Linked DNA regions of Danio rerio. The protein of the gene in region 2 purifies or fractionates together with the protein of the main gene of each other region. This does not show direct contact. Links are inferred from orthologs where the notes say so. Each region holds a gene or a part of one and is shown on either strand. Other genes may lie near its edges. The genes, in order: pycr3, dnajb1b and bag5.

Evidence for each region.
Region 1: the proteins of dnajb1b (region 2) and pycr3 purify together in Homo sapiens (affinity purification with mass spectrometry; 3 studies listed by BioGRID and IntAct, with this or other methods). This does not show direct contact. The link is inferred for Danio rerio from reciprocal best matches to the Homo sapiens genes DNAJB1 and PYCR3.
Region 3: the proteins of dnajb1b (region 2) and bag5 purify together in Homo sapiens (affinity purification with mass spectrometry; 3 studies listed by BioGRID and IntAct, with this or other methods). This does not show direct contact. The link is inferred for Danio rerio from reciprocal best matches to the Homo sapiens genes DNAJB1 and BAG5.

What each region holds. Positions count from the first base shown.
Region 1 is NC_133195.1:55,818,950-55,823,255, forward strand, and holds the start of pycr3 (pyrroline-5-carboxylate reductase 3), read left to right. Parts: upstream 1-1,355; 5' UTR 1,356-1,408; coding exon 1,409-1,450; intron 1,451-1,575; coding exon 1,576-1,654; intron 1,655-3,386; coding exon 3,387-3,451; intron 3,452-4,306.
Region 2 is NC_133176.1:59,235,562-59,239,804, forward strand, and holds the start of dnajb1b (dnaJ homolog subfamily B member 1b), read right to left. Parts: upstream 2,842-4,243; 5' UTR 2,465-2,841; coding exon 2,245-2,464; intron 1,463-2,244; coding exon 894-1,462; intron 1-893. UniProt on the Homo sapiens protein: Interacts with HSP70 and can stimulate its ATPase activity. Stimulates the association between HSC70 and HIP. Negatively regulates heat shock-induced HSF1 transcriptional activity during the attenuation and recovery phase period of the heat shock response.
Region 3 is NC_133188.1:17,770,574-17,774,772, reverse strand, and holds the start of bag5 (BAG family molecular chaperone regulator 5), read left to right. Parts: upstream 1-1,303; 5' UTR 1,304-1,494; coding exon 1,495-1,526; intron 1,527-4,199. UniProt on the Homo sapiens protein: Co-chaperone for HSP/HSP70 proteins. It functions as a nucleotide-exchange factor promoting the release of ADP from HSP70, thereby activating HSP70-mediated protein refolding.

The DNA.
Region 1 (4,306 bases), on a different chromosome or scaffold from region 2:
ATCGGCCCTCCAGGAATTGAGTTTGACACTGCTGCTGCGTTTGGTGCTTCTTTGCATTTCTTATGTTGGTTTACTTCTTATCTCTCCTGTCGTCAACATTATATCAGTCTCCTATATTGGTCTATAAGTCATTTACTGCTATGGTTTCTCGCGGTGTTCGTCAGGGTTCTGTCCTACTCTTTTTGCGCTATAGGGGAATTGATTAACTAAATTGGCCGTTGTGTATGAGTGTGTGTGTGAATGAGTGTCTATGGGTGTTTTCCAGTACTGGGTTGCAGCTGGAAGGGCATCCGCTGTGTGCTGGAATAGTTGGCGGTTCATTCCACTGTGGTGACCCCTGATAAATAAAGGACTAAGCTGAATTAGAATGAATGAATGAATGTAGCTTTTATGAAGCCAGAAAGTGATGTTCATTTATTTCTTCACTGCCTTTATGTTTCTCTTTTATTTTTAACATTATAAAAATGCTAATTTACCAAGGAAAGATGTTATTTTATGCATATTTTAACATTTATATATATATATTCATATTTAATAGGCAAGTGTCATATACATAAATGTAAATTAAAAGAACACATTTTTTTACAGTATTTAAAATTTAATGCATTGAATAGTCCATGCTTGTAAATCTATTAAATTAAATTAATTAATTAAATTAAATAATTAAATTAAATCCCCCCCCCCCCCCCCCCGAATTTTCTGAATTTTAATTGTTTGATTCTGTCTCTCACAGTGGAAATGCACCTCTGCTGAAAATGTAGACCTCTCTATGATTTCTTTGTAGATGTTTAAAAAATCACAGCATGATCAAATACTTATTGACCTCACTGTATATCATTAAACTAAAGGGTAAACAAACAAGAAACGTAAACAAGAAATCACTAAAATGTTAACATAAATAAATAAATGTATACATTAAAATGCAAACACTGGGCAGTGAAGCTCTGGACTGGAGAATACAGATCAGAGCTTGACACAGAAAATGACTACTGACTAACAAGTTTATACTGAAGCTGGAGTCATTTATTGTAATTTATTACATCTAAAATCTCCAGTGAGTAATTATGCAGCCTACTTTATTTTAATACTTTAATAATATATCATATACCAAAATTACATGCAACATATGCATTTAATATAATAGTAAATATAGTTTACTCCTTACCTCGTCTAATTCTTCTTTCCATGGATCAGGAATTACAGCAACACTGATCTGCTGGATATATTGTTGACGTTGTGTGTTGTATCTTGCTCCAGTCCAGCAGATGTCAGCAGTGTACATGCTATAGTTTCGAGTCTGTACTGTAAGTCCTGAAGAAAATGCCATCCATGTGAGAAGAGTTTACAAATTAAACAGGGATCAAGTTAACAATTTAGCTGCTGCTGCTGCGTCTTTATCAAACTTACCATGAGTCTGTCAGGTGCTTCAGACAAGACCAGCGATTCACCCGTGAGTAGGTTTTGTTGACCATATACTATATTAACCTGCTGATTAAATGTTGTTTAGTGAACAGATGTCAGCAGCAGCATCTCCAGTATTATGATTGTGAAATAAAATGTCTGTTGTGAATTCAGGATGTGTTTCAGATTAAGATCGGATTCATCGGAGCGGGAAACATGGCGTTTGGCGTCGCGCAGGGAATCATCGCCTCAGGTCAACAAATACCTGACAGTACCTTAAATAACTGCATTATATCAACAGTTCTGTTTATAAAGTGTCTAGTATCATGTCAAGTACATTCAGTAGGAAAAAAATATAACAGTAGTTTAATTTATAACAAACCTACGTGCTTTTGAACCTTATATATATATATATATATATATATATATATATATATATATATATATATATATATATATTTTTTTTTTTTTTTTTTTTCCATATTTTAATCGTATAATATGTTGTATTAGGCCTGTTGTTTTGTTCATTTCTGCACTGACAGCTCGAAAGAAAGATTTACATTGATCTGAGTTCATCTGCTATGTCTCTCTATAATTTAAGCCTATAATGCAGAATTCTAGCCAACGTTTCTTTTATAGATTGATTAATTCAATAGATCGATTTTTACAAAACCTGACAATTGAAATGAGGCTTTGTATATATGAGAAAGTCTGACCTCTGCTTTATATTCGGTGACGATGTCTGTGAGTTGTTAAAATTAAAGGGCACATTTTTGCTTATAAAATATTCTATACACAACTGGTCAAAAGTTTGGGGTCAGTATGATTGTTAAATATGTTAAACTAAGCTTCTTCTGCTCACCAAGGCTGCAATTATTTCATCATAAATACAAATTGTGAAATGTTGCATAAAATAACTGTTCAAAAGTACTTTATCATTTAATTTATTCATTTATTCCAGTGATTTTAAAGATGAAATTTCAGCTTCATTACTCCAGTCACATGATCCTTCAGAAATCACTAATATTAATTATTATTATATTTATTAATGGTAATAGTAATAAAAGCAATAATGTCTGGGGTAATCATTTTATTTGAAATTACATACAATAACAAAGCAGTTATTTAAATTTTTGATAAATATTTAACAATTTAACATTTTTTACATTTAATAAATGTAGCCTTGATGAACTGAATAAGTTTTCTTAAAAACATAAAAAAAATTACTGTAAATATATATACAGTGGAAGTCAGAGTTATTAGCCCCCCTTTGTTGTTTTTTTCTTTTTAAAATATGTCCTAAATTATGTTTAACAGAGCAAGGAAATGTTGATAGTATGTCTGATAATATTTTTTCCTCTGAACAAAGTCTTATTTGTTTTATTTTGACTAGAATTAAAGCAGTTCTTAATTTTTTATGAACCATTTTAAGGTCAAATTTATTAGTTCCTTAAGCTAATTATTTTTCAAACTGTCTCCAGAACAAACCATCGTTATACAATAACTTGCCTAATTACCCTAACCTGCCTGGTTAACCTAATTAACCTAGTTAAGACTGCTTCCATCTTTTACTTTCACACAAGTACTTAGTCATTTTAGCGCACGCCTCAGATACTGTTGGCTGGTTCCTGTTGGTTGTGTGTCTTTTTTTACTGACGCCATTATAACGACACAGATCACTGCCTATTCACGAGAAAAAAGTGATTGACAGGTGTAATTATGTGTGTAACTTGCCTTTATTCATTTACTGTATGATTTGTTTATGGGTAAAACAAAGACCATGCAGGTCAGGTAGTTTAAACGGTAGGCTACAAATAATTAATTGGTCATTAATTAATTAATTATTCATAATCGAAAATCTAATCGAATCGTGACTTTAGAATCGAAAATGTAATCGAATCGAGGATTTGGAGGATCGTGACACCCTTACGTGTGATTTGTGTGGTTTTATTGACATTTTATTGCTTTTATTTTTTATGTTATAGGGAAGGTTCCACCAAGTAATATAATTATTAGTGCTCCATCCATGAACAACCTTCCTCGCTTTAAGGTAAGACCTTATGAACATTTAAATTACGCTTTTCCAAAAAAAAAATGTAAAGAAATATTTTGATATAATAAAATGTTCTACGGTTTCCCCCACAAGTCCAAAGACATGCAGTACAGGTGAATTGACCGTAGTGTATGAATGAGTGTGTTTCCCAGTGATGGGTTGCGGCTGGAAGGGCATTCCCTGCATAAACATATGCTGGATAAGTTGGTGGTTCATTCCGCTGTGGCGACCCATGATTAATAAAGGGACTAAGCCGAAAATGAATAAATACAATTTTTTAAAAATAGCTATATATATATATATATATATATATACACACACACACACACACACACACACACACACACACACACACACGGTTAAAATCTGAGGTTTACAGACATTCTAAAAAAGCAATATAAGCATTTTAAAAAATGTCTGATGGTAAATCATACTAAACGTTTACTATTTTAGCTTCAGGATTACCTAAATTATTTGCTAAATGCCAGAATAATTAGAGAATTCTTTTTTTGAGAATTTTGTATTAATTTCTAGACAGTCAAAAGTTTTCACACATTTCCTTGGTATTTTTTAGCTTTGCTATTAAATTGTAAAACTTTGGTCAAATGTTTTGGGTCTCCTTCCACAAGCTTCTCACAATAGTTGGCAAGAATTTTGGCCCATTCCTCCTGACAGAATTGCTGTGACTGAGTCAGATTTGTAGGCTGTCTTGCTCGCACAAGCTTTTTCAACTCCGCTCACACATTTTCTTTAGGATTGAGATCAGGGCTTTGTGATGGCCACTCCAAAACATTCACTCTGTTGTCCTCAAAGCACATTTTAACAAGTTTATAAGTATGCTTAGGGTCATGG
Region 2 (4,243 bases):
ATCATTCCAATTTCAAAATTAGGCTGATATCTTTAAGCCAATTAATTTTGTACTTGTACAGAACTGCCTGCTTTTAAGTGTGGAGCGCGGTTATAAAAGTATTAAATGACTTACAATTGTACAAATATGTAATACTTTTCATTTGACATTTGAGCTGGTTTAAGTACTTAGTACTTTTTCGTTTTCATTTTATTTAAAATGTTTAACTTGTTTGTTAATTAAATCTAGTTGTCATTTAACCTATTATTTTTATGCAACAGTCAAGTTGCATGTAAATTTGCTATGTGGAAAAAAGGAAATGATTTATGTGAAAGTGTGAATAGGTTTATATAATCACCTTGCAATTTTGAAATTATTACTTTTTTTGCTTTAAGAAGGCTATTTTTAGATCAGTTCAAACTTTTATGAAGTTTTTTTTTTAAATAAAATCAGTGGTTCACTGTGCAAAAATATAACATTTTAAAATATTTATATTCATCAGCTAATACATCAGTTATCGGCCTTCAAATCTAAGATTTATTGGCTATCGATATCAGCCCAAAAACCATTTTCGGTGCATCCCTAGTATTTACATGCTAATGTGCATTTCGGAAACCAAGGAAAGTGAACGTCTTAGTTTTCTTGTACAAAAATGTGTAACTTTCAGTATGAACAAGCAACCAAGCCATGTTCAGATACAAGAGTCAAAACAGGCAAGAATTTTCTCCTGTCTGTTTCAAGTGTTTTTGATTTTGCTGATTGATCTTTGATGTTCCTTAATGGTGTGTTTGCTTTCAGAAGTTACATTTTTTGAAATGGTATAAAACATGTTGGTTATTTCAAATATCTAGTGGCCTATAAAATTATTTAGCATGCTATTGAATATTTCTTCAATATCATAGAAATCATCTCACCTCTTTGAGAGTAATTTTTGCAGGATAAATGATGTCCGATCCATCTCGTTTGTACACCGGATGCGGTTTATCCTTCAACACAAACACCACATCTGCAGGGATATTTGACGGCGTCTCGTCGCCTTCCCTGGGGAAGGTTATCTTGGTTCCTTCCTTCCAGCCTTTTTTCACCTCCACTGTCAGAATCTTGTCCTCTGAGCGTGTTGTTCGTCCATCGGGGTTCAGGCGCTTGCGTGAGATCTTCATCTTCTTGGTGCAGCCAGTGAACACTTCATCTAGACTGACACGGAGGTCGTGGATCACTGCAGGGTCTTGTTTTCTCTCCATTCTTCCACCGTGACTATGTGTGGTAAAGGAGCGAGGGAAACCACCAATGCCACCCATACCAAAAGAAGCAAACGGGTCATCAGTTTCCATGTTCTCATCCATACCGCCATTATGTCCAAAAATATGTTCGAAAGGATTTCGCCCTCCGAAGAACTCTGAGAACATCGCATGAGGATCTCCTTGGAAAGTGTATGTGTAATTTCCACCACCACCACCTCCTCCAGGAGCACCTCCCTTCAGTCCTGCAAATGGCACACAAATAAATCAAATTGCAATCTTTAAACAAAAATACAACACTCAAATTTCAAGATTAATTTAATAGTTCATATAAATGTTGATTATTTAGCATAGAACCACTGATCATTTTGATTACTCAACTACACATACTGGTAAAAGGACTGGAGGTTTGTATTCATCTTAACTTGTATCTCCAAAAATATCTAAAGGTTCCTTTTGATAGATTTTCTATTAGTAAATATTTATATTTAAGTGCTAGTCGTTTTAAAATGTTCTGGAATGTGCAAACCCATTTAAGATTGTTTAAAGCTGAACAGGTACAGAACTATTGACGGAACTCAAACGCTCTGCCTCTTCGCACCACGTGACTATCAGAATCTTCCAGCAAGCGCTCGACGCTCTAGAATGTCCCGCACAAGCAGCCAATCAGAATGCAGCATTGCTGATCGGATCTCGTTTACTTATTTTTACAAAATAAAACTTCACTATCACAGATTCAGCAGATTGACTTATCTCTAATTCAAACGTTTGAGTAGTGTAGAGTGCGTCGAAAGCAGCCCAGGACCACGTAACATCATAGATTAAACTGATTCAGCCAGTCAGTAATCTAATCTATCTCTCTTGTCTCAAACGTGACTAGAAGAAAACAAACACGAACACAATAGTTTGTACTTTAAACAACATATCTTATTAGTAAAGGCTCATAATCCCTCTTAAAACTCTTCTTATTCATATTTGCGTCGTGGAACAGAGCCACAGTTACAAATGTTTGCATATTTTTACTCACCTTCTTCGCCAAATCTGTCGTAGATGTCTTTCTTTTTCGGGTCACTCAGCACGTCGTATGCTTCCGCGATCTCCTTGAACTTTTCCTCGGCTCCGGCTGACTTGTTTTTGTCCGGATGGTATTTCAGCGCTTGTTTGCGATACGCTTTTTTAATTTCATCGTCAGAAGCGCCTTTCTGAATCCCCAAAACGCTGTAATAATCTTTCCCCATCTTCACCATTAGGCTTCCGTGTTTCTTAAATGTATATTCTCCGAAAGAAAAACTGCGGTTCAGACTAGTGTTGCTAGCCTGTTTGTTTTCAAACCAACCTGAAACTAATCTTTGCAGAGGTGTCGTCTCGTCCCCTTGCGGTCTTTTATGCTCCTGCCGCTCTGTGGTTCCCCCTATTTAAAACCGTAAAGAAAGTTCTAGAAAATTCTCAAAGTCTCTGGTTGTTTCCACACCCCTGGACCTGGACCACGTGGCAGATCTGCTCCACCCGCACAGCTGCTGCAGCAAACGGGCAAAACCGAAACCAGAAGAAACTACAGCTGCGTTTCTCTATCAAACTATGATGTACTCAAACATAAACAGGCCTGTGTGACGCCATAACGGGCGCTTCTCGGCTGGATTTCGTATGTCGTCATTTATATTTGCATAATCCCCTTACATTCCTGACCGAGTGACCTACAAACTCTGTCCAGGGAAGATGCTATTTTAGACCAATGATGATTCTCATGTTTTAACTGTACTATTATTGTTATAATTATATCTTTATAATATTAAATCATCTACCTTTTAAAAAATCTTATGTTTCATTAAATGTTAAGTGGAAATTATTAGGAAGTATATTTTATTATTATTATATTGAATGGATTGTGTGTGTGTGTGTGTGTGTGTGTGTGTGTGTGTGTGTGTGTGTGTGTGCGCGCGTGTGTGCGTGTGTGTGTGTGTGTGTGTACAAACAGTGCTCAGCATACATTAGTACACCCCTTAACAAATCTTATCTTTTAAATTCATTTTTAAATTCATGTTTTTTAATATTTTAATACGTTTACAATATTATATTTGTGCATATACATTAGTTTAGTCAGTACTGAAGTCAAATCTGGACCAATCTAACAAAATAACTTTCGGTAACGGACCAAAAACTAGTTCACCCATATTAACATGTTATAGAAAAATATTAAATACAAATTTTAATGAGAAGAGAAGCAAAAAAAATAAATAAAAATTTGGTTGAAATTTTGTAGGTTGTAGTTTTTTTTTGTTTTTGTAATATTTTGCTTGAATTTAATAGTATTGTTTTTTAATTTCTAAATATGTTTGGTGGATAAAATAATTTTTAAATAAATATATCCGTTTCATAAATCTGTTTTGTTTATATGCACCAAATATTATTATTATTATTATTGCTTATATTCACTGAGTAAAGGATAAAAATATTAATGCTGAGTACTTGTTATATATATATATATATATATATATATATATATATATATATATATATATATATATATATATATATATATATATACACACAATAACAAATTTTAGTTTTCTAAACCTCTCTTATTGTTGTGGGAAAATGTACTTTTGGGCTTTACTGTCTACCCTAGTCAAGAGGAAAATTGGTTTTATTTTAATCATTTGCTTATGTTGTTAACAAAATTTTGATTCATAAATGTAAATGTACTAATAAGCAGTGGTGGAAAAAATACTGAAAAAATCTAACCCAGGTAAAAGTACCATTACTTGGCCAAAAATGTAGTGCAAGTAGAGTAAATGTATCTGTTGTAAATATTACTCAAACTATGAGTAAAAAGTAGACCTTAGAAAAATACTCAGGAGTAGTGAGTACTACACTGTAAAAACCTGATGCGTTTCCATGCAATTTGTGCGTGAGTGAAAACGTAACATTCTGTAGTGCATTTATTCATTGTTTAAGGGCCTTTGGGCAATCTAAACAGCCTCTGGGCCATTGCATATAAGGATTTTGTACATCTTTCTGAACACTTT
Region 3 (4,199 bases), on a different chromosome or scaffold from region 2:
TTTACATTGATTGGCATGATTTTGTAGGGGACTGATTGAATCATGCATAAAACAATTTACAAGCATAGATAAACAGGGCAACGACAAAACTGCTGAGATAAACAGTGTTTTATGTTTGTTTGTTTTTTATTTTTATTTTTTTGTTTTTTTTTTGGAGCATTCAGTACAGAAATCGAATAATCAAATGTAAATTAACACGTCTTCTTTATATAAAAAAACAAGTACAATTAATATTTGTTTAAGATTTAAAAGTTATAATTTCTTGTGCCTGAATGTATTAAACTCTTTGAAATCACATGCAAATGATATTTTTTTTTATTTAATTTTGGTTCTGCATCTGCAGCTACTCCACAAATCACATGTACTCTGAACTCCTGTGCTGTTCAACATTGCAGATGTGACTACTGCAGATGGGCACATGGCAATATTAATGCTGATAAGATATATTGTACAGCCTATAATGAAGAATATTATTGCTTAGCTTGCTTTAAACACTTGAAAACGTGCACGTATTTTTGGTTGGTTCGTTTGAAAAGATTTTAGCTTTTTTTTGCTAGTTTATATATATATATATATATATATATATATATATATATATATATATATGTGTGTGTGTGTGTGTGTGTGATAAGCATAGGGTTGTTCAAATAGTAAACTCATTTAATGTATCATCCTTTTAATTTAGGCCTACTTATTTTTTTTTTAAGGTGTAACAAAATTGTTAGATTTAAATCTGATGTTAAAAAGGCATTGTATATTGTGTTTTCCAATCCTCAGAAGGTAACACTTTCCTCTGCTTCGGGAAAATCCGTACTCCTGTTTTTTTAATGTAAAGTCACTTTCTGAAGATACATGACAAGTTACGTAAATATGTATTTTAAAACAACACAAGTATCACTGTGATTTATCTGAAATAAAACACACTATAATTTGTGCAGTGTAGTATGGTTTATTTTTTTCGACAAGGCAACTGTTTGAAAGAAACAAGCGCGTGCTAAAAACAGGAACAATACAATAGACACGGGTGTCCATGCAAATAATTACAACATTTTATAAACTCTGTGATGAAATAAACACCGGGCTTACGAAAATACATCAAAACAACCATGAACTGCGAAGCGAATTTTTGACGTCATGATTTGTGTACATGGAATCAGCCGTAAAGTTGCGCATGCGCTGTGAATGGGGGAACAGGGGAACTGAATTCTCCGGAACACCGGCGTAACAACGCAACTGCACAGACTGTTACTGAATGAATCTTTTACTGAACTGATTCAAAAGAGTCACTAGACCACTGGCGCTGATCGAGGAAGGGAAGGGAAGGGAAGGGGAGGGGCAGGAATGCGGTCCACGCCGATGTAATGCTTCAACTGATCTGAATGCCTGTTTGCCTTTGCCAGTATCACTGCAACTCTGCGATCCAGAAATTACTGGAGTGTTGTGCCGTGCAAAACATTTTACTCGCGTGGCTGATGGAAAAGGAGCCCCTTAAACATGTGCGCGAACGTTTTCGGCGCGTTGAAGAGGTGAGAAATATGCTGCGCATCCCAGGAGGTGGTGAGATATGCTGGGTATGGCTGGCTGGTGTTCAGAAGCCATAAAAACGTCATTCTGCGATGTTTTCATTCATGTGCATCTATTACTGAACAATCGTTATGGTGAGGCATGGACAGGCTTGTGTTAGATTCTCCCTCTGCTGGATTGATTCTATAGTTCATGTCAAAGATGGAGCCGTACGGTCTTGGGGGACCAAATGTAGTCATTTTGGAATCAGCCGTTGCAAAGCATATTTAGTCATGTTATGTCTTCTGAATCATGTATCTAAGAACTATAAGACAGCTTAATGATTGCATATATGATGATGGTCAGATGTGTGTTCAGCTAACATGTACAGGGCAGCTTTTTTAACTGAGCATGCCAGTAACATCAGCATCATGAGCTGTGTACAGTTCCACAATCCAGGGCAGGTGAAACCAAAAACACAGCACATTGCCATCAGTGTTTCAACAGACACTCAATGTAAATTCAAACACAAAGTATGACAAATGCAGATTTTCTTGAAAACTACTCAAAGATCAGTGATCACTAACAGGTGGTCGAGACCCAGAAGCATCCCATTTGGATCCGTACATGCAGCCTATAGAGGTCTGCGCAGGTCTGTTACTTCAGTCCTGCTCCCCCTGGGCGTTACTTCGCACCCAATCACTCCCACTATTTGTTAGCTCTGTTTACCCCCTATATGCTAAGAAAATCTTTCTCCCGACCGACTGTTCAAACTGATTTAAGACTAGAGATTAGCTAAATGCTCACTCTTTGCTTAAATGTTTGCATTCTGTGCAGTTTCATTTACCACAGTCCTGCTGATAACCGAGCTCTCTGGAATGAATGTTAATAAAATTGCATGTTGCTTGGTAATGCAAGCTTAATGTAAACAAGAAATCAATTCTTTAAAAGGGCTCAAATATTAGGATGTGTTGACATAATTACTAGCTGCATAATTGGTTGCGGCTTTTGAGTCATGACGTAAAACAGAACAAGGTCAATTTAAAGGTGTGATAAGTGATCTGCCTAAATGCTACAGGCTAGCATAATATCTTTAAAACGCAATACCTCCCCTGCCATATAAAGCCACGCCTCCTGAAATCATGAACACGCACACTAAAGATGACAGTAGACAACCAACTAGATCATGTCATTCGCCTGTTATACTTTATAATACTACAATTCTGAATAAAAAACTGTATTAAATCTAACATGTTTTCAGTTGTGTAGCAAGCAAAACTTGTCATAATGTGCAATATTCATGCATGCAAGGTCTCACTCATGCACTTTGCCCTAAAGCCACTACGGTTGTCGTTGGCCAGCGGCGTGCAGGAATTACACTTATTACCAAGACATACTTGTTATTTCAGACCGAATATTCGAAGTAGCATAGTAAACCATATAGAGAGCGCATCGCAGGCTGTCATTGTTAAAAAAAAAAAACCACTGTGAATGTAAAATCAACTTCCTCAGTAAAGCAGGCTAGGCAGAATAGCGCTATTTACTTATATTTTGTTGTTAAACTTAATAAAAATCAACATTATCGATTCTGTAGAATGGTACCTTATAAAACTGAAAATAGCCACATTATTCTTTCGCTGGAAGATTTCAGTGGCTGAACAACACTTTTGTGCATATAACCCAAACATAAAACAACAAAATCTACATAAGTTTTGCATGACTAAAATTGTTTTAAAATATAACATTACCTGTCTAAAAATACTTCAGCCATGGTGTCATCCTTCATCCAGCGTGCTAAAGTAACTCAAATATTGATTCAGGATTTTCAAAAGTTTTGATTTAGCAATTAGCATTTGTTTTTACTGCTCTCTCTCTCTCTCTCTCTCTCTCTCTCTCTCTCTTGTGTGCAGGTAAACGCGGAAAAAAAATGATGGATCTGTGTGAATGGCTTCCCAGATGTACAAATCTACATTTGTTGACAGACAGTTTGGGCTATCAGAATTATGGGAATTGTCTGCCTGACAATTTTTTAATTGGATGAACATTTTTTAGACTTATGCCTTACCCAGTATATAAAAATACATATAAATACATTTATATAATTTACTTTAATCATTACTATTGGAATGTGCAGAGATTTTCAACCAGCACAACAAAAATGTTTCTGAAAACAATCCCCTTTAAACTTTTTATTCCTTTATTATATTTTCTTAAGCATTTTATATGAACATAAAAATTTCAAAATTGTCTTATTTTTTTTAAATTATTTGAACAAATCAAATTAAATCAATTAAAGAGCAAATCAAACAAGGTTTGCTTTATAGATTTCTCGGTAGTGTAACAGTATTAAGACACAAAAATGTAATAATCAAATATAAAATAACTCTTTAAAGTCTTCATTGGGTAAATGATGTTTTACAATTAATCTGTTGTTTTAGTATGCCCAAGTTATTTGTTTCTGAAATGTTTCATCATACCAAAAATTTTCTCAGTTTCTGTTTTAACGCTTAAGTGAGATAAGTGTGGTGCTAATCAACAAGAGAAGGTACAAATAAATGGTCAGTGCAGCATACCAATCCAGCGGTACAAAAGTTTATGGCTGGTAATTACCGCTGATTTCAATTAAAGTGAAAACCATGATATTCAAAAAAATGCATAAAAGGCTTAAAACAAGAAAAAAAATATGTGCTTAAATA